Rattus norvegicus: one gene and its partners. The protein of the gene in region 2 interacts with the protein of the main gene of each other region in a biochemical or structural test. Links are inferred from orthologs where the notes say so. Each region holds a gene or a part of one and is shown on either strand. Other genes may lie near its edges.

Region 1 (6,333 bases), on a different chromosome or scaffold from region 2:
ATTCCCCAAATACAATAGAGATGCTTTTTCCTCCCTGAGACAGGATCTTACTATGAACTCTAAGAACTCATAGAGACCCACTTGCCTCTGCCTCTTGAGTTCTGGAATTGAAGTTGTGTGCCCCTAAACTCAGGCATAACTGTCTTTTTGATAGGCTCTATTGAGAAGTAGAGCTGGGTGTGGTCGCTCACACCTTTAATTCCAGCACTCAAAAGCTTGCCGAGTTCAAGGCCAGCTTGGACTGTAGTCCAATGTAGTCCAATGTATGGCAAACTCCAGGACAGGGAGGAATACAAAGAGAAACCCTGTCCCAAAAACACAAAACAAACAAAGTTAATTGTATAGTTTCATGCCCGTTTTCCTTTTTACTGCTATCCCTCCCCCAACACCCTGACCCACACTCTTTCTGAGACAGGGTCCCTCTCATGTACTCCAAGTTGGCCTTGAACTGAGGCTCCCACCTCCACCTCCCAAGGGCCGGGGTTGGAGGTAGGTACTGCTGTGCTTAGTTTCATGCCTTGTTGATAAAAACATTTACTAACTAGGAGGTAAAAAGGAAGCTGATGAGATGGCTCAGTGGGTAAAAGTACTTGCCATCAAGCTTGATGATCTCGGTTCAGCACCCACATATTATGCTCCCCAAATTATCCTCCTACTCATGCACACAGATTGTGGCAAATGTGTTCAGAAGATCATAGGCACGAATACACACATACACAATGAATAGTGAATAAACAAACAAACACATAAAGAATTTTTTTCTTAAAAAGACATAAAATAAAAAGCAGTCAGGCAAGGTGGAAGATACGGTGAAGTCCAGCTATTCAGAAGGCAAGAGGATCACATAAGCCTAGGAGTTTGAGGTCAGCTTGGGCAACGTAAAGAAATCTCATCTCAGAAATGAAAACAGGGTGGGTGGTGGGTGGGGGTGGGGCCTGGAGAGATGGCTCGGTGGTTAAGAGCAGTGACTGCTCTTCCAGAGGTCTTGAGTTCAATTCCCAGCAACCACATGGTGGCTCACAACCATCTGTAATGGGATCTGATGCCCTCTTCTGGTGTGTCTGAAGACAGCTACAGAATACTCACATAAATAAATTAAAAAATTTTTAAAGAATGAAAACAGGGGCTGTAGAGATGGCCCAGCAGTTAAGAGCACTTGTGGCTCATGTTGAAGACCCTTGTTTGGACTCCAGCACCCATATAGTGGCTCACAACCATCCCTAAGTGTAGTAGCAGGGGGATCTGAGGCCCTCTCCATTTTCTGACCTCTGAAGGCACTAAACATACACGAAGTGTCTTAGATATACATGCAGACAAAACACCCATACACACAAATAAATCTAAAAGCAATGAAATCAGGAACCAGACAGATGGTTCAATGGGTAAAGGCACCTGTTGCTAACCCAACAGCCTGAGCTGGTTAGAGAATCAATTCCTGCAAGTTGTCTTGACTTCCCCCCCCCCCCACAGGCTCAGCACACACATGACCACCACAACGTGTGAGTAAATATAAAAACAAAAAGCCCAAGTCAGCCTGTCTGCAATCTCCTCGGGCCAAAACCAAAGGTAAGCCATACCTAGGATCAGGGTTCACACATCTTAAAAATAGGAGTTTTGCTTCACTTGGGGCCTATGTCACAGAAAACACCTTGAGTTCATATCCCAAAGTGTACACAGCCACCGCCATGGCTTGGCTCACTCCTACTCAGCTTATACAAGCACAGTGAAAACAGCCATGCATCAGATCCTTAGAATGGAGGAAGAGCTGGGCAAAAAAGCCAAGTTTTCTGGCAGGCCCTTCAGGAACCCACTGGCCAAGTAAGGCATGAACTGGAGATCCCTGGGGCTACCAGATCCTCTGTCCTTGGTGTTACCCAGGCTGCTCAAAGCCAGCCCAGTGATTGCCCCTCCCGATGCTACTGCTTCCTTAGATGTCCACCCCTGACCACCTGGAGCCCTGCTGGAGCCCCCAGCTCTGTAATCGTGTGATCGATCGGTCTGAATCATTGTTTCTGTCACCTGACTTCCCAGTTAGTGTCTGGGACCCTCATAACTCCAGTGTAATCCCTTGGGTGCCCACCGTCAAGACTCCCCCAGTGGTTTACATGCAAAAATAAAAGCCGCAGAAACCCCCAAAACCCCCGAAATAAAAGAAAACAGCCATGTTCTGAGTCCTGTCCCCAAAGAATGAAGCAACTTTGCCATTCCTGCCCAAATGAAGAGGCAACTTCCGGTTTCCTTGGGTAGTTATGTCAAATGGTGTTTTGCTAAAGCAGATACGTGAAAGGACAGATGATGTCTAGAAGGAAAATAAATATAACCCAACAGACAGTGGACGACCCTGGATGGTGTTGCTGTGCCTTACTCTTCACTGGTCTTCACTTCCTTGGGAGAGGCACAGCAGAGAACTTCTCCTGGCATCCCTGCTGGCCCTGGTTGCCCCTGTTGACGCATGCTGATTCCTGTTTGCTATCCTGACACCACTGAACTAGGCTGCTGGTATCCTGACAGATGGATATTGAAACTGCCCCAAGGAACAGCACCAAGCAGAACATCATGGTTTCTTCTGGATCGACCTGCTGTTGCCAAATCGTGACTGGTGTTCATGAGCGCATCCGACTACTACTGCTGACTCCGTGAACTGAACCGCTGATACCCTGACAACACAGACTGGATTTGCTCCAACAACTTTTCCTTTCCACCACCTCTGGTAAGTGGTGGGCCAGAAGGGAAGTTAAAGCATTTAATAAGCCTTATTAAAAGTAGGTTTTGAAAAGTATAAGCCTAGACCCAACTTCCTTAATCGGTCCTGTTCTACTAATTATCCGCTCACCCTCAACTTGTTTTTTAGGAGCTTCGTTCCCCGTGACACTCCCTTGCAGGGTTTCCTGAATTTTTTCTAGGTCACGGAGAATCTCCTGAATTTTCTTCTGAGACGCACTGAAAGTCACCAGCTTTGGAGAATCCAAGGGATATTCCTCCTCAGAGGAAGAATCCTGTTGGTCAAGGAAGAATGGACAATGAAATGAAGTGAAAACCAACTGAGGAACTCATAAAATACACCCAAGCTCTGCCTTCCAGCTGTAATTTTTTTTTTTCTTTTTTTTCCGGAGCTGGGGACCGAACCCAGGGCCTTGCGCTTCCTAGGCAAGCGCTCTACCACTGAGCTAAATCCCCAGCCCCCAGCTGTAATTTTAAATGGAAGTATTAACAGGCTTTGTTTTATTTTATTGTTTTGTTTTGGAGACCGGGCTTCTCTGTGTAGGCCAGGCTGCCTCAGACTCAAGAGGTCCACCTGCCTCTGCCTACTGAGTGCTGAAATGAAAAAGCAGCAGCACCACCTCCAGGCAGTATTCTTTCTGGGGAGTTGGAGTTACAGTTAATTGTGAGCTACCACGTGGGGACTGAAGATCAACCCCAGTTCATCTAGAAAAGCAAATGCTTTTAACTGCTGAGCTCTATTTCTGGCCCCATTTTACGCACAATTCATTGCTTGCTTGCTTGCTTGTTTGTTTTTCAACAGGGTTCCTCTGTGTAGCCCTGGCTGTCCTGGAACTTGCTTTGTAGCCCAGGCTGGACTCAGACTCAGAGGGATCTACCTGCCTCTGGGTAGATCTGCCAAGTGCTGGGATTAAGGGGCATATGCCACCACACCCAGCGATTATTTATTTCTTAATGTATTTTTTTATGGTGCTAGGAATCAAATCCAGACTCGTTCATGAACCCTATTAAGCTATATCCCAATCTATAAGGTTCTTTTTATTTTATTTTATATGTTTTTTGATGTGTGTGTGTGTGTGTGTGTGTGTGTGTGTGTGTGTGTGTGTGTGGTATGTGTGCACATGGAAAACAATGTCAGGTGTCCTGCTCTGTCACTCTCCACTCTATTCCCTTGAGACAGGGTCTCTCATTGATCCGGAGCCAGGCCGATGGTCACAGTAATCTCACTCCTCCAGCCACAGCACGCTCACTTGTAACCCCTTTTCTAATATCTCAGTAAGATCACAGTGGCTCGCTGGTTCCAACAGATGTCCCTGGTTCCAGGAGAGACCCTGCCTCAAAGGAATAGGCAGACAGTAATAGAAGAAGTTACCTGATACCTTCTTCATGGCCCTGAGTACACAAGTCAGAAGGTTGCAGCTGTAGTAACTGATAAAACAAACATAAAGGCATGTGAGGGGCTGGAGAGATGGCTCAGTGGTTAAGAGCACTGACTGCTCTTCCAGAGGTCCTGAGTTCAAATCCCAGCAACCACATGGTGGCTCACAACCATCTGTAATGGGATCTGATGCCCTCTTCTGGTGTGTCTGAAGACAGCTACAGTGTACATACATACGTAAAATAAATAAATCTTAAAAAAAAAAAAAAGGCATGTGAAATCTTAAGAGTCTCTGACAGGGAGTTTGATTCATTCAAGGAAATCGGTGAAGGCTACTCTCCCAGAGGGCGATGATTTAGGGGACTGGGAGGCAGTGAGGCCTTCAGCAGGTGAGTGGAGCAAGGTTGTCAGGGTTGCTGGAAGCACAGTCCCATTCCTTTCTCCCCCGCCTTGGGGTTGTGAGGCTCTGCCCTACCACATATTCCTGCCAGTGCCCCTGGACTCCTATACATAGTGACCTAAAATAAACTTTTTTCCATTTCAGAAGCCGGTTATCACTGTTATTCAGACATCGTCAGAGTATTTCAGGTGGATGAGTTAGATGAAGAAAGCTAACTAAGATAAAGTGGAACATCTGTAGGGCTACGATGACAACCCAGGCAAGAGACTGTCATCGGCCTGGACTTGAGAAGTCTCAGAGGAGCTCAGGCATGAGTAGAGCTGGAAGATCTTCAGCTGGCCTTGGAGCTACAGTGCTCTGCTAGGCAGGTTAAGGCACAGGAAGTGTCATGACTTCCAGGCTTTTGACTTGTGTGTTTGGAAGAATGAGACCAAGACAGTGATGGAGACTCCCCAGAGGAACTGCGCTGTATTGGAGACAGCCAGAAGGAAACGTTGAGAAACGAAGTGGAAGCTTCTAGGTCTTTGGAAACTTATGTCAAATGATTGTTTGCTGGGGCTCACAGGTGGAAGGATGTCTTGCTAAAGCAAACATGTGAGAGACTGTTGTCCTGAAGCAGACACAGGTGAAAGGACGCTTGACGAAGGAGTATCAATGTGGCCCCATAGACAGTGGAGACAAGCACTGTATGTTTGCCTTACATAGCACTGCTGAGCTCAACTTGTGATACACAGCCATTGAGAGAAGCTCTCCCAAGAACTGTTTCCAAGGGCTGGAGATGGCTCAGTGGTTAAGAGCACTGACTGCTCTTCCAGAGGGCCTGAGTTCAATTCCCAGCAACCACATGGTGGCTCACAACCATCTGCAGTGGGATCCAATGCCCTCTTCTCATGTGTCTGAAGTCAGCTACAGTGTACTCACGTGCATACAATAAATAAATAAATAAATAAATAAATAAATAAATAAATAAATAAATAGTAGGTTGCAAAAACTGCATACCTACAGAGAAACAGGAAAGGAGGGTCAGGAGTTCATGGCCAGCTCTCATTATATACTGAATTCAAGGCCAGTCTGGGCTAGAGATCCTACCACATAAAACAAAAGCAAATAAAGCAACTGGGGACTGAGCGTAGTGGAACTCGGGAGGATTCAGGAGGCTGGTACAGGAGGACCATGAGTTCCTGGTGAACAACAAAACTCCATCTCAAAAGGAAGCGGGGTGCTTGCTGCACAAATCCGATGACCCGAGTTAGATTCCTGGAACCCAGACTCCGGAAAGCTGGGCTCTGACCCCCACACACCCGACCCTGCACACACACCCTCTCAACACACATACCCTCCCCTCTACACAATCCCCCCGGCACACACAAACTCCCCTCCACACAATAATAAAAATACTTTCTGCAAGGTCACTGAGTGAGGCTGGAGAGTTAGCTTGTCAGCTTGTTAGCTTGTCAGTGTTCTTGCACACGACCTGCGTTCAATTCCCAGTACCCACATGATGGCTCGCGCCCATCTATAGCTTTGATTCTAAGGGATCCATCGTCCTCTTTCCTCTGCCCTACTCAGACATCGGGCATGCACACGGTGCACACACATAAAAGCAGACGAAACACCCAAAAACATAAAATAAGATAAACACATCTTTAAAAAGATTTTTGGGGTTGGGGATTTAGCTCAGTGGTAGAGCGCTTGCCTAGGAAGCGCAAGGCCCTGGGTTCGATCCCCAGCTCCGAAAAAAAGAACCAAAAATAAATAAATAAATAAATAAATAAATAAAGATTTTTAAGGGACACTGAAGATGAGGACTTTCAAACCTGTGGGATTTACCTAG
Region 2 (6,333 bases):
AGCAGCTAAGTGGAACTCTGGAAGACTGCGGCTCTTCTTAGAAGTCACCTGACTGGAAATACCTGAGGCAGTGGGTCGGGTGACCCTCCGAGTTTGTGATCTAGGTATCTGAACATGATCTGGTTGTACGGGTGGTGTTTGCTGGTGTTATGACACTCGTCGAATATCATCAGAGTGAAGACAGACAGCGAGGGGATGGCTCCATTGTTGAGACTGTTCACAAGAATCTGGGGTGTCAGGATGACGATGTCATTGTTTTCAATGATGTGCTGCACTGACACATTATCAGCCGTTGCCCCCGAAATGCCGGCGACATTGTACCTGGGAAGTGACAGAAATCCCTTATCACCAACCATGTTGTGAACAAAGAGACAAAGTGGAAGTCTAGGTCACAGCAGCAATTAAGGAAGCGCCCCCGAGCCCCAAAGAGTACAGCTGAGGAGCACTCGAGCTTTCTCACAGTCCTGATGCAAAGCCAGGGACCAGGAAATGCAAGGGGTTATAACTAACTGATCCAATGATCACAATGTTCCAAGTCATTAGAAGATAAACGATTTTTAAAAGAGTAATAGCCAATAAAGTATAAAATCATTAAAAATGACCAGCGTGGGGGGGGTGGATGGGGAGGGGAACAACCTTATAAAAGGGGAGGGGGAGGAGTTAGGGGGCTGATAGACAGGAAACCGGGAAAGGGAATAACATTTGAAATGTAAATAAGAAATACCCAATTTAATAAAAATGGAAAGAAAAGAAAAGAAAGCCATTGATGATCGGAGATGAGTTTATAGATACAAGTAAGGGCAACCACAGGGCGAAGTTGATTGACTTCTGTTGCATTTGTCTTCAGGAAGACGGAGGTAAACGAAGGTACTAAAAAAAACCTGAACACAAGCTACAGAAATGACCTCGCTTGTGTATCCAAGCAAACCAAAGGGATCAGAGATGGGGGAGGAGCAGAGGGTGCAGAGAAATTATACGGAAAATCTAAAATCACTGTAAAATCAGACATAATGATGATATTCACAATAATTCTATAAATGACAAGGAACGTGATGTTTTCTGCAATACTCATCAATAAAAGAAAGATAAAATCAAAAAAAAAAAAAAAAGACCAGTGCATCACCTAAATGTTAAATTTGGCCACCAAGTTATTAATGGTCAGAGCAATCCATGAGGGCTTAGCATTTCTGGTAAAGTTAAACAAAGAATGTTATTCCACAAAGGAACTACTTCTAAAAGTTAAGTCTGGGGTAATTTTCTTTCTTTTTTTTTTTTTTTTCCGGAGCTGGGGACCGAACCCAGGGCCTTGCGCTTCCTAGGCAAGTGCTCTACCACTGAGCTAAATCCCCAAACCCGGTAATTTTCTTTTAATCATAACACAGAACAGCGAGGCCTGCCAAATGCGCTGGAAGGTAGAAGCAAAAGGATCATCTCGTCTAGGCCAACCTCAGCTACAGAGTGAGTTGGAGGACAGCCCCAGCTACGTGATACCCTACAACAAAACCCCCAAAACCAGACAAAGAGGCTAGAAATTTAAAATAAAAACAAAAGACGAAAGAGGTTGGACTGATCGTAGTACATACCCAAATCTTTCGAAATATCGTGAGAACACAGTGGCCTGCTGTTCATACACAGGGATCTGGTTAGCAAAAAAGACCACTTTCCCTTTCTGTCCGTGCGGAAAGTTTTTAAGATGATGTTCGCATATGAGAAGCGACACAAAGGTTTTTCCACAACCTTTTAGCAAGGGAAGGAAAAAGAAAGAGATAAGCGGTGTTAGCTGTTTTTCCAGGATGGTAATTATTTTTGGCTTCTGTATCACCATTGGGATACAAATAAACGAATCCTTCCTCTGCACAGACAGTGACACTTTAAACCATGGCTTAAAAATGCCACCTTCTCCCTAAGTAACATGCGTTCAAGGAGCAAGGACCAAAAGCAAACTAAAAGAGGGCACTCATCTCCCACCGGCTTCCTTGAGAAACACAGAGAGATTGCTGACCGGACAGCTCTCCCAATGGCAAATACGGAAAAACCCCTTGCTTTGCAGCACCCAAAAGGAAACGAAAAAGCAAAGAGAAGGTTCTGTGAGTTGCAGCAACTAACTCACCAGTAGGAGCACATATTACTGTATTTTTCCCTTTCTTGGCAGGCAGGGCAAGCTCCAGTTGGTAATTTCTTGGTTTCAATGGGCTGTGTGAATTATTAGGAGACGCTTCTGTAATACAGAAGGGACAGAGTTATTGAAGGGTTTGTGCCATTCAGTGGACCTGAGTTCTGATCCTAGCAACAATGCCCCATTTGAGGAGGTTTGGGATCTTGCTTCTTAATAATTGTCCCACTTTCCCCTTTGAAGGACACTCTACTCTCTCAATGACAAAGTATCAACAGCAAGGAGGCAGGGGAAAGGCCAAAGTGAATTATTCTTCCTCTCTCTCTCTCTCTCTCTCTCTCTCTCTCTCTCTCTCCCTTCCTTCCTTCCTTCCTTTTTAAAGATTCATTTATTTATTTTATTTTATGTGTATGAGTACACTGTCACTGTCTTCAGACACACCAGAAGAGGGCATCAGATCCCATTACAGATGTTCATGAGCCATCATGTGGTTGCTAGGAATTGAACTCATGACCTCTGGAAGATCAGTCAGTGCCCTTAAATGCTGAGCCATCTCTCCAGCCCCGTGACTTCTTTCTTAATCATGGAAACATTACTAAGAAAAAGGAAAGCAAGAATGGCCTAATTCAGAACATAGCCACTTGTTACAAAGTAAGAACAGATCTTCAAAAACAGCCAGAAAACCAGCTGTTGGCACCAGGTTCTCAAAGCAACTGAGTGTCTAACCGTCCCACTGTAAAGAAAGACTTTCTAGGTGAAGAAAATCGCCTTTGTTTAAAAGTCATGTATGGATCACTGTGTGTCCGAAATATTTAAATCGACTGTGTATCCCTAGGATGAAAACCTGTGTCATTCACTTGCTGACATCATTTGTAAGATGTGTGTGTGTGTGGTGTGTGTGTGTGTGTGTGTGTGTGTGTGTGTGTGTGTGTGTACACATATATATACTGTTTTTAAGAAATCACATCTTTTAACACTATTCATCATTAATATATCTCCTTCCTGATATATATTTTTTACAAATGTTTTGTTTGTTTGAAAGTTGTCTTACAACTTTCTGGTCTCTCTCTCTCTCTTTTTTTTTTTTTTTTTTAATTAATGCTATGTATGTGAGTACACTGTCACTGTCTTCAGACACACCAGAAGAGGGCATCAGATCCCATTACAGATGGTTGTGAGCCACCATGTGGTTGCTGGGATTTGAACTCAGGACCTCTAGAAGAGCAGTCAGTGCCCTTAACCACTGAGCCATCTCTCTAGCCCTCTAGTCTCTTTATAATAAAGGTGTATTTCAAGGAGCATTAGGGCCCTCGTCCAACCACAGGTAACAGAACAGTAGCCTGTGTGTGAGAAGTTACTGTGAGCCCACACACAGAGGCTGCAAACAGCGGCCACACAGTCACCTCATGCTCTCGGACGGCAGCCCTGGCACCCTGAGACGAGACTGAACAAGTGGCTCAGAAACAAGTATTCTTCAGAGAGAAAAGCTGCTTTGGGATGCCACGGGCACGGTGGTACATATAAAGACACATATACTCCAGGGTAGAAGGCTATAAAAGCAGCAGAGGCTATGGAAGACGGGAACCAGAATTCTGATTATAAGTCTCTATCGCCCCACAAATTCTCTTTCTTTTCTCAATCATCCTTAAAAAGGATTTTTTTTTTTCAAAAGGCTTCAAAGTGCTGGGGAAACACCATCATGGACAAGAACAAGTGATGCTGGGTACCTGAAGGAGGGCCGGGATTCTGACTGAGATTCTGACACTCCGGTTCTTCCTGAATGAAAATCTGTATGCTGGCCATCTCTGTTCCGTCATCCTCAACAGCCTTACAGTCAACCCTTCTGACACCTTTGTGAAGACAAACAAACATACAAACAAACACAAATAAGAGCTTAGAATCTTAACGCTATGTGATTACGGTTTTGGTTGAGGAAGCCCCGAAAAGCTCTTATAACCATGACTTCACAGTTTCTTTCTTTCTTTCTTTCTTTCTTTCTTTCTTTCTTTTTTCTTTTTTTCTTTTTTTCTTTTTTTCGGAGCTGGGGACCGAACCTAGGGCCTTGCGCTTGCTAGGCAAGCGCTCTACCACTGAGCTAAATCCCCAACCCCTTCTTTTTTTTTAAAGATTTATTTATTTATCATATTTATATATGTACACTGTAGCTGTCCTCAGACACACCAGAAGAGGGCATCAGATCTCATTGCAGATGGTTGCGAGCCACCATGTGGTTTCTGGGATTTGAACTCAGGGCCTCTGGGAGAACCGTCAGTGCTCTTAACCTCTGAGCCATCTCTCCAGCCCGCTTTGCAGTTTCTCAACATTTTATTTACTTTTGAAATGGATTTGTTTATTGTGTGTGTCACACATGACACAGTGAGTATGCGGAGGTGGAGGACCCTGTCTGGGGATTGGTTCTCTCTATCATGTAGGGCCTAGACATTGAACTCGGTTCTTCAGGCTCAGTGACAGGAGCTGAGCCATCTCACCAGCCCCACTTTGTCAGCTTAAAACAGCAGCAAGAATCATTTTGAGTTTGAAGGTCACTTGGGTGTTTGAATTCCAGTGTCGCCTAGAACTACGAGACTCCAAGTGTAGAACGTGCAGCTATTAGCAGTGCGTAATCGGAGTCCCTCCCCACTCCATAGCTCAGGACAATGACGCAGGAGAGTCACTCCTGAGCACACTAAAGGGACACTCACGATTTCATCTCTGACCAATGACATAGACAGTTTCTGGAATGACTGATGTTCTAGGTGAGAACTGAACCTAGAAACTCGGGTATTTATCAAGGTCTGGTTTAAAGCAAGAAGTGACTTTCCGGAAGCCAAATAAGGTTGGCTTAATCACAGCAAATCTCTGTTTACGCCTTGCTCTGTTCAGTTCCTGATGGCTTCTGGACAAGAGAACCAGTCAACAGCTATCACTCCCAGCGCTCGGCCTCTACTCTGACAGGGAGATAAGTCTCGCAGTTCGAACCTTTAGGTCTAGAACTCTTATAAATCTCGGCAGGAAGCCTTTATTCTTCCTTCTCCAAATTCTTTGACCTGGGTGGGTTAATTCCATGACTTGTAGCTCCCTTCCTCCCAGGACCCAGCTTGTGTCTTCCCACCGCTTGTGTCCTAGGGCCACGGCTTGAGGTATGTGAAGTGAACAGCGTCTCTGATGGAAAGTAAAGTCGGGGAGAACTGTGGGGCCCAGCATGGTTCAGAGCTCTTTCTCAGAGCAGCCCACCTTTATCGACGAGCCACAGTTCACTAAACTTGCTGTTGTCTTTCTCCAAAGCAAACTGCAAAACCTTTGGCCAGTTCTCCTTATCGGATCTGAGAAGACATTGGACCATCTTCTCCGCACCCGCCATCCTCCCTTTAGTGAAGCAGATCTGGGGGAGACAAAGGCACCACACTGATTGGCCAGCTCAGCCTTTCTCCTTGCAAGCTTTGCTAAAGAAACCACATCTACTCAAGCAGTTCTTGGTAGAGATCACTGTGAGCTCTGGTCGAGGGGCCTTAGCATCTTTTTTTTTTTTTTTTTTTTTTTTTTTTGCCCTACCCAGCACTAGCTTTTAAACTATTCTTCCCTTCACCTTTGTCCTTTATAACGGGCTATCAATATGTCAAGGCAAATGTTATCTTCTGAATCCTTACATCCATTGCCTCTGGCAATCCCAGGGTAAAAAGTTAACCCAGACAACGACCGACCCGTTCACCCTAAGGATATCTCAGCATACAGAGCCATTTGGAAACGCCTAACAACACAGCAGCAGTTTGGTTTGGTTTTTTTCAAAGCAGGTATTCTATGATTTTTATTTCTAATGATCACTAAAATGCATGGTGTATATATTGCTATGCATCAAACTGGCAGATATACTTAGTGCGCACCGTCTCGTTTCACCCTAAGAGCATGCTAATAAGGTACATTTTTCTTCCATTAGCTTCTTAGAGAAGCTAAATGGATTGCCGAACACTAGTTAAGGGACTGAGAGACTGTAATAAATGTAGCTACACGCCAGAGCCTGGCCTATTTTTCTTTTCATTTGTTGCCCTGCTTGACGTGATTTGCATGTGCATAAAACACTATTCAAAGAAAAGGTAAGGGGGCAACTTGAACTGCAAATAGGTCAATTTTCCAATAGTCTTGCACAGAAAATTACCCCATTCACTTTAAAAATTCTATTCTAGTCATTATGTCTTCTAGATGAGAGCTTTTATGGGTTTCGA
Region 3 (5,409 bases), on a different chromosome or scaffold from region 2:
TCACCTTGACCATATAATCTTGGCAGAGCAGAACAGCTCTTGTAGTTTACACCTTTAAAAGCTCTTTCTGCATCTGCTTCTGCGTGGTCAGGTTAGAGACTGTAGGCCTTGCTCGTAGCCTTAATAAATTTGCTTTAATTATAATCTGAATTATGTCTGTAGGTCTTTCCCCAGTGGTCATGAACTCCACAATAGCACATACCCACCAGGGAATCTGATGCCCACATTTGACTGCCTTGGGCACTCCCTCCCCACATACACATATACATGTAAATAAAAAGTACATTAAAACTTAAAGATTTAGAAAAATAAAAGAAAGAAATTCTGGTCAAGATGTTACCTATATTTCATGCATATCAGGAATAAAGTTACACATTCCTGCTAGTTTTCTAGTGACAGAGTTGAATAACTAGTATTTTCCTAGAATGGTCAAGACCCTAGGGTTGATCTCTAGCATTGGACAAAAAAATAAGGCTACCTCTAGGATTCAGAATGCTAACAGTGGGCTGGAGAAATGGTTCAGTGCTTAAGAACACTGGCTGGACTTCCAGAGTTCCCCAGTTCAATTCCCAGCAACCACATGGTGGCTCACAACCATTTGTAATGTAATCTGCTGCCCTCTTCTGGTGTGTCAGAAGATAGCAACAGTGTACTCATAAAAAGAATGCTAAGGGGCTGGAGAGATGGCTCAGCAGTTAAGAGCATCCGACTACTCTTCCAGAAGTCCTGAGTTCAATTCCCAGCAACCACATGGTGGCTCACAACCATCTGTAAAGAGATCCGATGTCCTCTTCTGGTGTGTCTGAAGACAGCTACAGTGTACTTATATATAATAAATGAATTAATCTTTAAAAAAAAGAATGCGAAGTTATATTTATTTTTCATTTATGGAGAGAAAATGTAAGTAAAATGTCCTTCTCGCTTCATTTTACTTTTTAAAGTGAAATGTAGACTTCATATCAGCTCTACTATAAATAAAACAAAAAATGGCCGCTCCGGCTCATTTTTTGTCTGTTGATATAGTAACTTATCATGAGGCCCTGGCTGGCCTGGAGCTCACTATGTAGACCAGGCTAACTCAGAGAGCTCACCTGCCTCTGCCTCACAAGTGCTGGGATCAAAAGTATGCACCATCGCAGCTGATTAAAGAAGACTGCTTCAACATTAGTAGTCAGTTTTACAAAGCACTTGACTGTCAGGACTTTCTCCTTAATGCCAGTACTTAACGCTCACTTTTTCTTGCATACTTTTACCCATGGGGATTATAAAGAGTAAGTTTAACGCAGATTGCACAGAAATATAATGTAAAGGGTAGATATATACTTACTATGAAATCGTCGTAAAACAAAGTGTGGCTGACTTGCAAATGTCTAATTAAACTGCCACTGAAGGTACTTGGGCTTTCATTGGGTTGTGAATGGCAAAGTGGGCAGAACTGGAAAGAAGGAAAGACAAGTAGTTCAATAACAAGTTTTAAATAATTATCAATGCTAGATTTTTAAAGAACTCACCATTGAATATGAATCTTAACTATGAATCTGTTGGACACACATCAACATTGTTGGTTTAGTTTCATGGTGTGTGATGTGTGTGTGTTCATGTGTTTGTGTGTATATGTACAGGGTCATGTGTGCGCATGTCTGCGTGGAGGTCAGAGGTCAGAGGTAAATGCCCTCAGTTATTCTCACCCTGTGTTTTTAATTTATTTTTATTTTTCGTTTCCACTTCATATATTTAAGTTGTCATCCTTTTTTAAAGGACTTTATTTAAAATGATTTACTGACTTTTATTTTATGTGTGTGAGTGTTGGCCTGCATGTATAATATGTGTATCACATGTATGATGTGTGTGCCACATCCATGCCGGGTCCCATGGACCCTGGAAGAGAACATCAGGTATCCTGAAACCAGAGATAAAGATTGCTGCAGGATACCACATAGGTAGGTGCTGGGCCTGGAACTCTGGTCCTCTGTAAGAGCAGCAAGTGTTTCTAAACACTGACCCAGCTCTTCAGCCCCTCTTTCAATATATTTTTTGAGCCAGAGCTTCTCATTGAGGCTGAAGCTAAGCATTTAGTCTAGGTTAGCTGGCTGGTCAGCAAGTTCCAGCAATCTACCTTCTCTGTACTCCTTCCTAGTCCTGGGGCTACAGCAGGTTTTAGGGGAGCACTGGGGATCAGAACTCTGCTCTTCCTGCTAGTGTGCAGGCATTCTACTGACTAAGGTTTTTAGTGACTGAAAACCCAGCACTGTTTGGTTTTGTTTCTCACATAGCTAAAGCAAGCTTTCAATTCACTGTGGCTAAGGCTAGACTTAAACACCTGTCTACTACTATGCTTGGCTCAATAACAAAATTTATATTTTTAGCCAGGAAGATCTGAGTTCAAGACCAGTCTGGTCTACAAAGAAAGTTCGAGGTCAGCTAGCGCTACACAGTTAGCCCTCTCTTCATCTGAGTATCTTCCCCCACCCACCATCCCGCTCCTCTCTCTCTCTCTCTCTCTCTCTCTCTCTCTCTCTCTCTCTCTCTCTCTCTCTCTCTGGTTTTTCAAGACAGAGTTTCTTTGTGTAGCCCTCGCTGTCCTGGAACTCACTCTGTAGACCAGGCTGGCCTCAAACTCAAGAGATCCACCTCCCTTTGCCTCCCAAGTACTGGGATTAATGGCATGGGTCACCATTGCTTGGCTATCTTTTTCTTAACAATTAAAAAAATGTATAGGGTATCACAGTTGTAGAACTACGAACCTGAAAAATCACCATGTAGTCCAGGCTAGTCCTAAACTCACAAGATTCCACATGCTTTTCCCTTCCAAAGGCCTGTAGCATCATGCCCAGCCACACAATATCAAAGAAAGTTTCTCGGAGCTGGTGAAAAGCTTAGAGGGACGCCAGTTGTGCCAAAAGTTCCCTCATCCCAACTTGTGAACTGTGTGTAATAAATACATGTAGTAATTTTAAAAACTGGAAAATAAGTAAGCAGACTTCCTGATGAACCGTTTCTCCGTGGGAGGAGCAGATACAGTTCCAATCCTGTAGCCCAGGCTGGCATGAACTCTCTGTGTAGCCCGGGTTTGCCTCAAACCTACAGCACCTGTCCTTCATCACCTCTCAAGTGCTGAGATCACAGGCATGAGCCACCTAAACTCCAACGCTGCCGACAGACAGACAGACAGACAGACGGTAGATCAGAATCATTACCACAGGCCTCCTTTCTGATCTGTGGTGGATAATACAATGATCCAGCAAGCAGTCTTCATCCAGTTCTCTCTGACAAAATGGACACACGCATCTGGAAATAGCACAGAATCACAATCACTTAAATAGTGGTCAGCTAGAACGGCTACCTAGTTAGAAATTTCAAAAAGAAAAGAGTTGTATAGACCACAGCTAGGTTAGTCCCCCTCCCCTTTTTTTTCCAGAGCTGAGGACTGAACCCAGGGCCTTGCGCTTGCTAGGCAAGTGCTCAAGTGCTCTACCACTAAGCTAAACCCCCAACCCCTAGTTCCTTTTTTTTTTTTCCCCTAAGGATCAGGTTCTCACTACACAGACCAGGCTTGCCTTGGTCCTCCTGCTTCTATCTCCTAAGTGCCAGGATTATGGTTGTACACCACCACATGTAGCTTGCTTTTCTGTTTTAAGACAAGAGTCTTGCCATGTAGCTCAGGCTTTCCCCAAGCTCTCAGCAATCCCTCTGCCTCAGCCTCCCGGAATGCTGCGATTACAGGCACGTCATCACACTGGGATGAGGTTTTGTTTGGATCTCCTTGTGTTGTTCAAACTGTCCTCAAAGTTACTACACAGTCCTCCTGCTGGCTTGACTTCCTGCATACTGGTTATACTCATGCGCCACTGAGCTTAGTTTTACAATTCCTTGTTATGATTTTAATTAGCAAAAGAAATTAAAGTCAGTTCCCGTGTATTTTAAATTTTTCATAAACTCCATGAACTTGCAGTCAAAGCCATATTTTCTCAACTTATTTTTTAGCCTTTCTTCCTCCCCCCTGGTCAATCTAGCAGAAGCTGTACTCTGTTTACAGCAAAAAAAAAAAAAAATACTCAATTTAAAATTCATGGCACCATCTGTAAAGCAAACCCTGGGATGACAGGTGCATTAGCAGGGCAATTTCAAGTAAAGTGAAAGGAACAGAGGAGTCTTTGGATTTCTAGGTTAAGATGCATGCATTTGAGGCTGGAGAGGCGGCTCAGTGGTTAAAAGCACTGGCTGCTCTTGCAGAGGACTCGGGTTCAGTCCCCAGTACCCACGTGGGGTTCAAAACTGTTCGTAACTCCACTCCCAGGGCAGTCAACAGTCTCTGACCTCTACAGGATCCTGCACCAGCATGGTGCCGACATATACTTGGGTACACACACACACACACACACACACACACACACACACACACACACACATTAAAAAAAGAATAAAGGTAAGACTTGGGTACTGAAATCCCATTTTGAGTGGCTTTCCTCACAGGAGTACCTCACTCTGTAGCCCAGGATGGCCTCAAAGCCACAACTCTTGCCTCGGCCTCCCAAGTGCTGGCCTTAAATTCCTCATAGACACGCTGAATTTAGCATGGCGCTCTACTGTATTCAAACAAACCTTGCAGTGGTCTCTCCAAGCTCTTGCAGTGGGCCATATTTATCGATGTACTTCTCACACGTCCTAATGTGCGCCCTCATGTCACTGAGGCAGACCTACACAAAGCAAACTCAAGATAAAACTCCTGTTGGCCAGGGCCCTCACGTAACCTGGCTTCATGACTTTCAAATCGGGTTACACTGGGACAGTTAATGAATTGGATTTTTTTTTTCACAAAACACTCACAAAGTACAGGCCTTCTTATTAAAGAGAAATGCATGTACTTTGGTGGTGGCCCACACTGTTAATCCCAGCGTTTGAGAGGCAGAAGCAGACAGATCTCTAAGTTTGGGTCCAGCCAGGTCTACAGATGGAGTATCAGGACCGCCAGAGCCACCCAGAGAAACCCTGCCTTGAAAAACCGAAAGGTAATAATAATAGTAATATTAATAATAATATAATAATACATAATAAATGTGATAAATGCTGTGCTTATGACTGAGGGGGCTTGAGACCCCATATGAACAACAATGCCAACCAACCAGAGCTTCCAGGGACTAAGCCACTACCTAAAGACTATACATGGACTGACCCTGGACTCTGACTTCATAGGTAGCAATGAATATCCTAGTAAGATCACCAGTGGAAGGGGAAGCCCTGGGTCCTAAGACTGAACCCCCAGTGAACTAGATTGTTGGGGGGAGGGCGGCAATGGGGGGAGGGTGGGGAGGGGAACACCCATATAGAAGGGGAAGGGAAGGAGTTAGGGGGATGTTGGCATGGAAACCGGAAAAGGGAATAACAATTGAAATGTAAATAAGAAATACT

Evidence for each region.
Region 1: of the proteins of Rig1 (region 2) and Rnf135, one has a biochemical effect on the other in vitro, tested with the Homo sapiens proteins (6 studies listed by BioGRID, with this or other methods). The link is inferred for Rattus norvegicus from reciprocal best matches to the Homo sapiens genes RIGI and RNF135.
Region 3: of the proteins of Rig1 (region 2) and Rnf125, one has a biochemical effect on the other in vitro, tested with the Homo sapiens proteins (3 studies listed by BioGRID and IntAct, with this or other methods). The link is inferred for Rattus norvegicus from reciprocal best matches to the Homo sapiens genes RIGI and RNF125.

What each region holds. Positions count from the first base shown.
Region 1 is NC_086028.1:65,673,115-65,679,447, reverse strand, and holds part of Rnf135 (E3 ubiquitin-protein ligase RNF135), read right to left. Parts: exon of another isoform or gene 4,644-6,333; intron 2,997-4,643; coding exon 2,834-2,996; intron 2,711-2,833; exon of another isoform or gene 1-2,710.
Region 2 is NC_086023.1:60,147,067-60,153,399, forward strand, and holds part of Rig1 (antiviral innate immune response receptor RIG-I), read right to left. Parts: intron 5,496-6,333; coding exon 5,348-5,495; intron 3,964-5,347; coding exon 3,841-3,963; intron 2,219-3,840; coding exon 2,111-2,218; intron 1,738-2,110; coding exon 1,584-1,737; intron 322-1,583; coding exon 63-321; intron 1-62.
Region 3 is NC_086036.1:12,544,169-12,549,577, reverse strand, and holds part of Rnf125 (E3 ubiquitin-protein ligase RNF125), read right to left. Parts: intron 4,698-5,409; coding exon 4,603-4,697; intron 3,289-4,602; coding exon 3,198-3,288; intron 1,436-3,197; coding exon 1,328-1,435; intron 1-1,327. UniProt on the Homo sapiens protein: E3 ubiquitin-protein ligase that mediates ubiquitination and subsequent proteasomal degradation of target proteins, such as RIGI, MAVS/IPS1, IFIH1/MDA5, JAK1 and p53/TP53.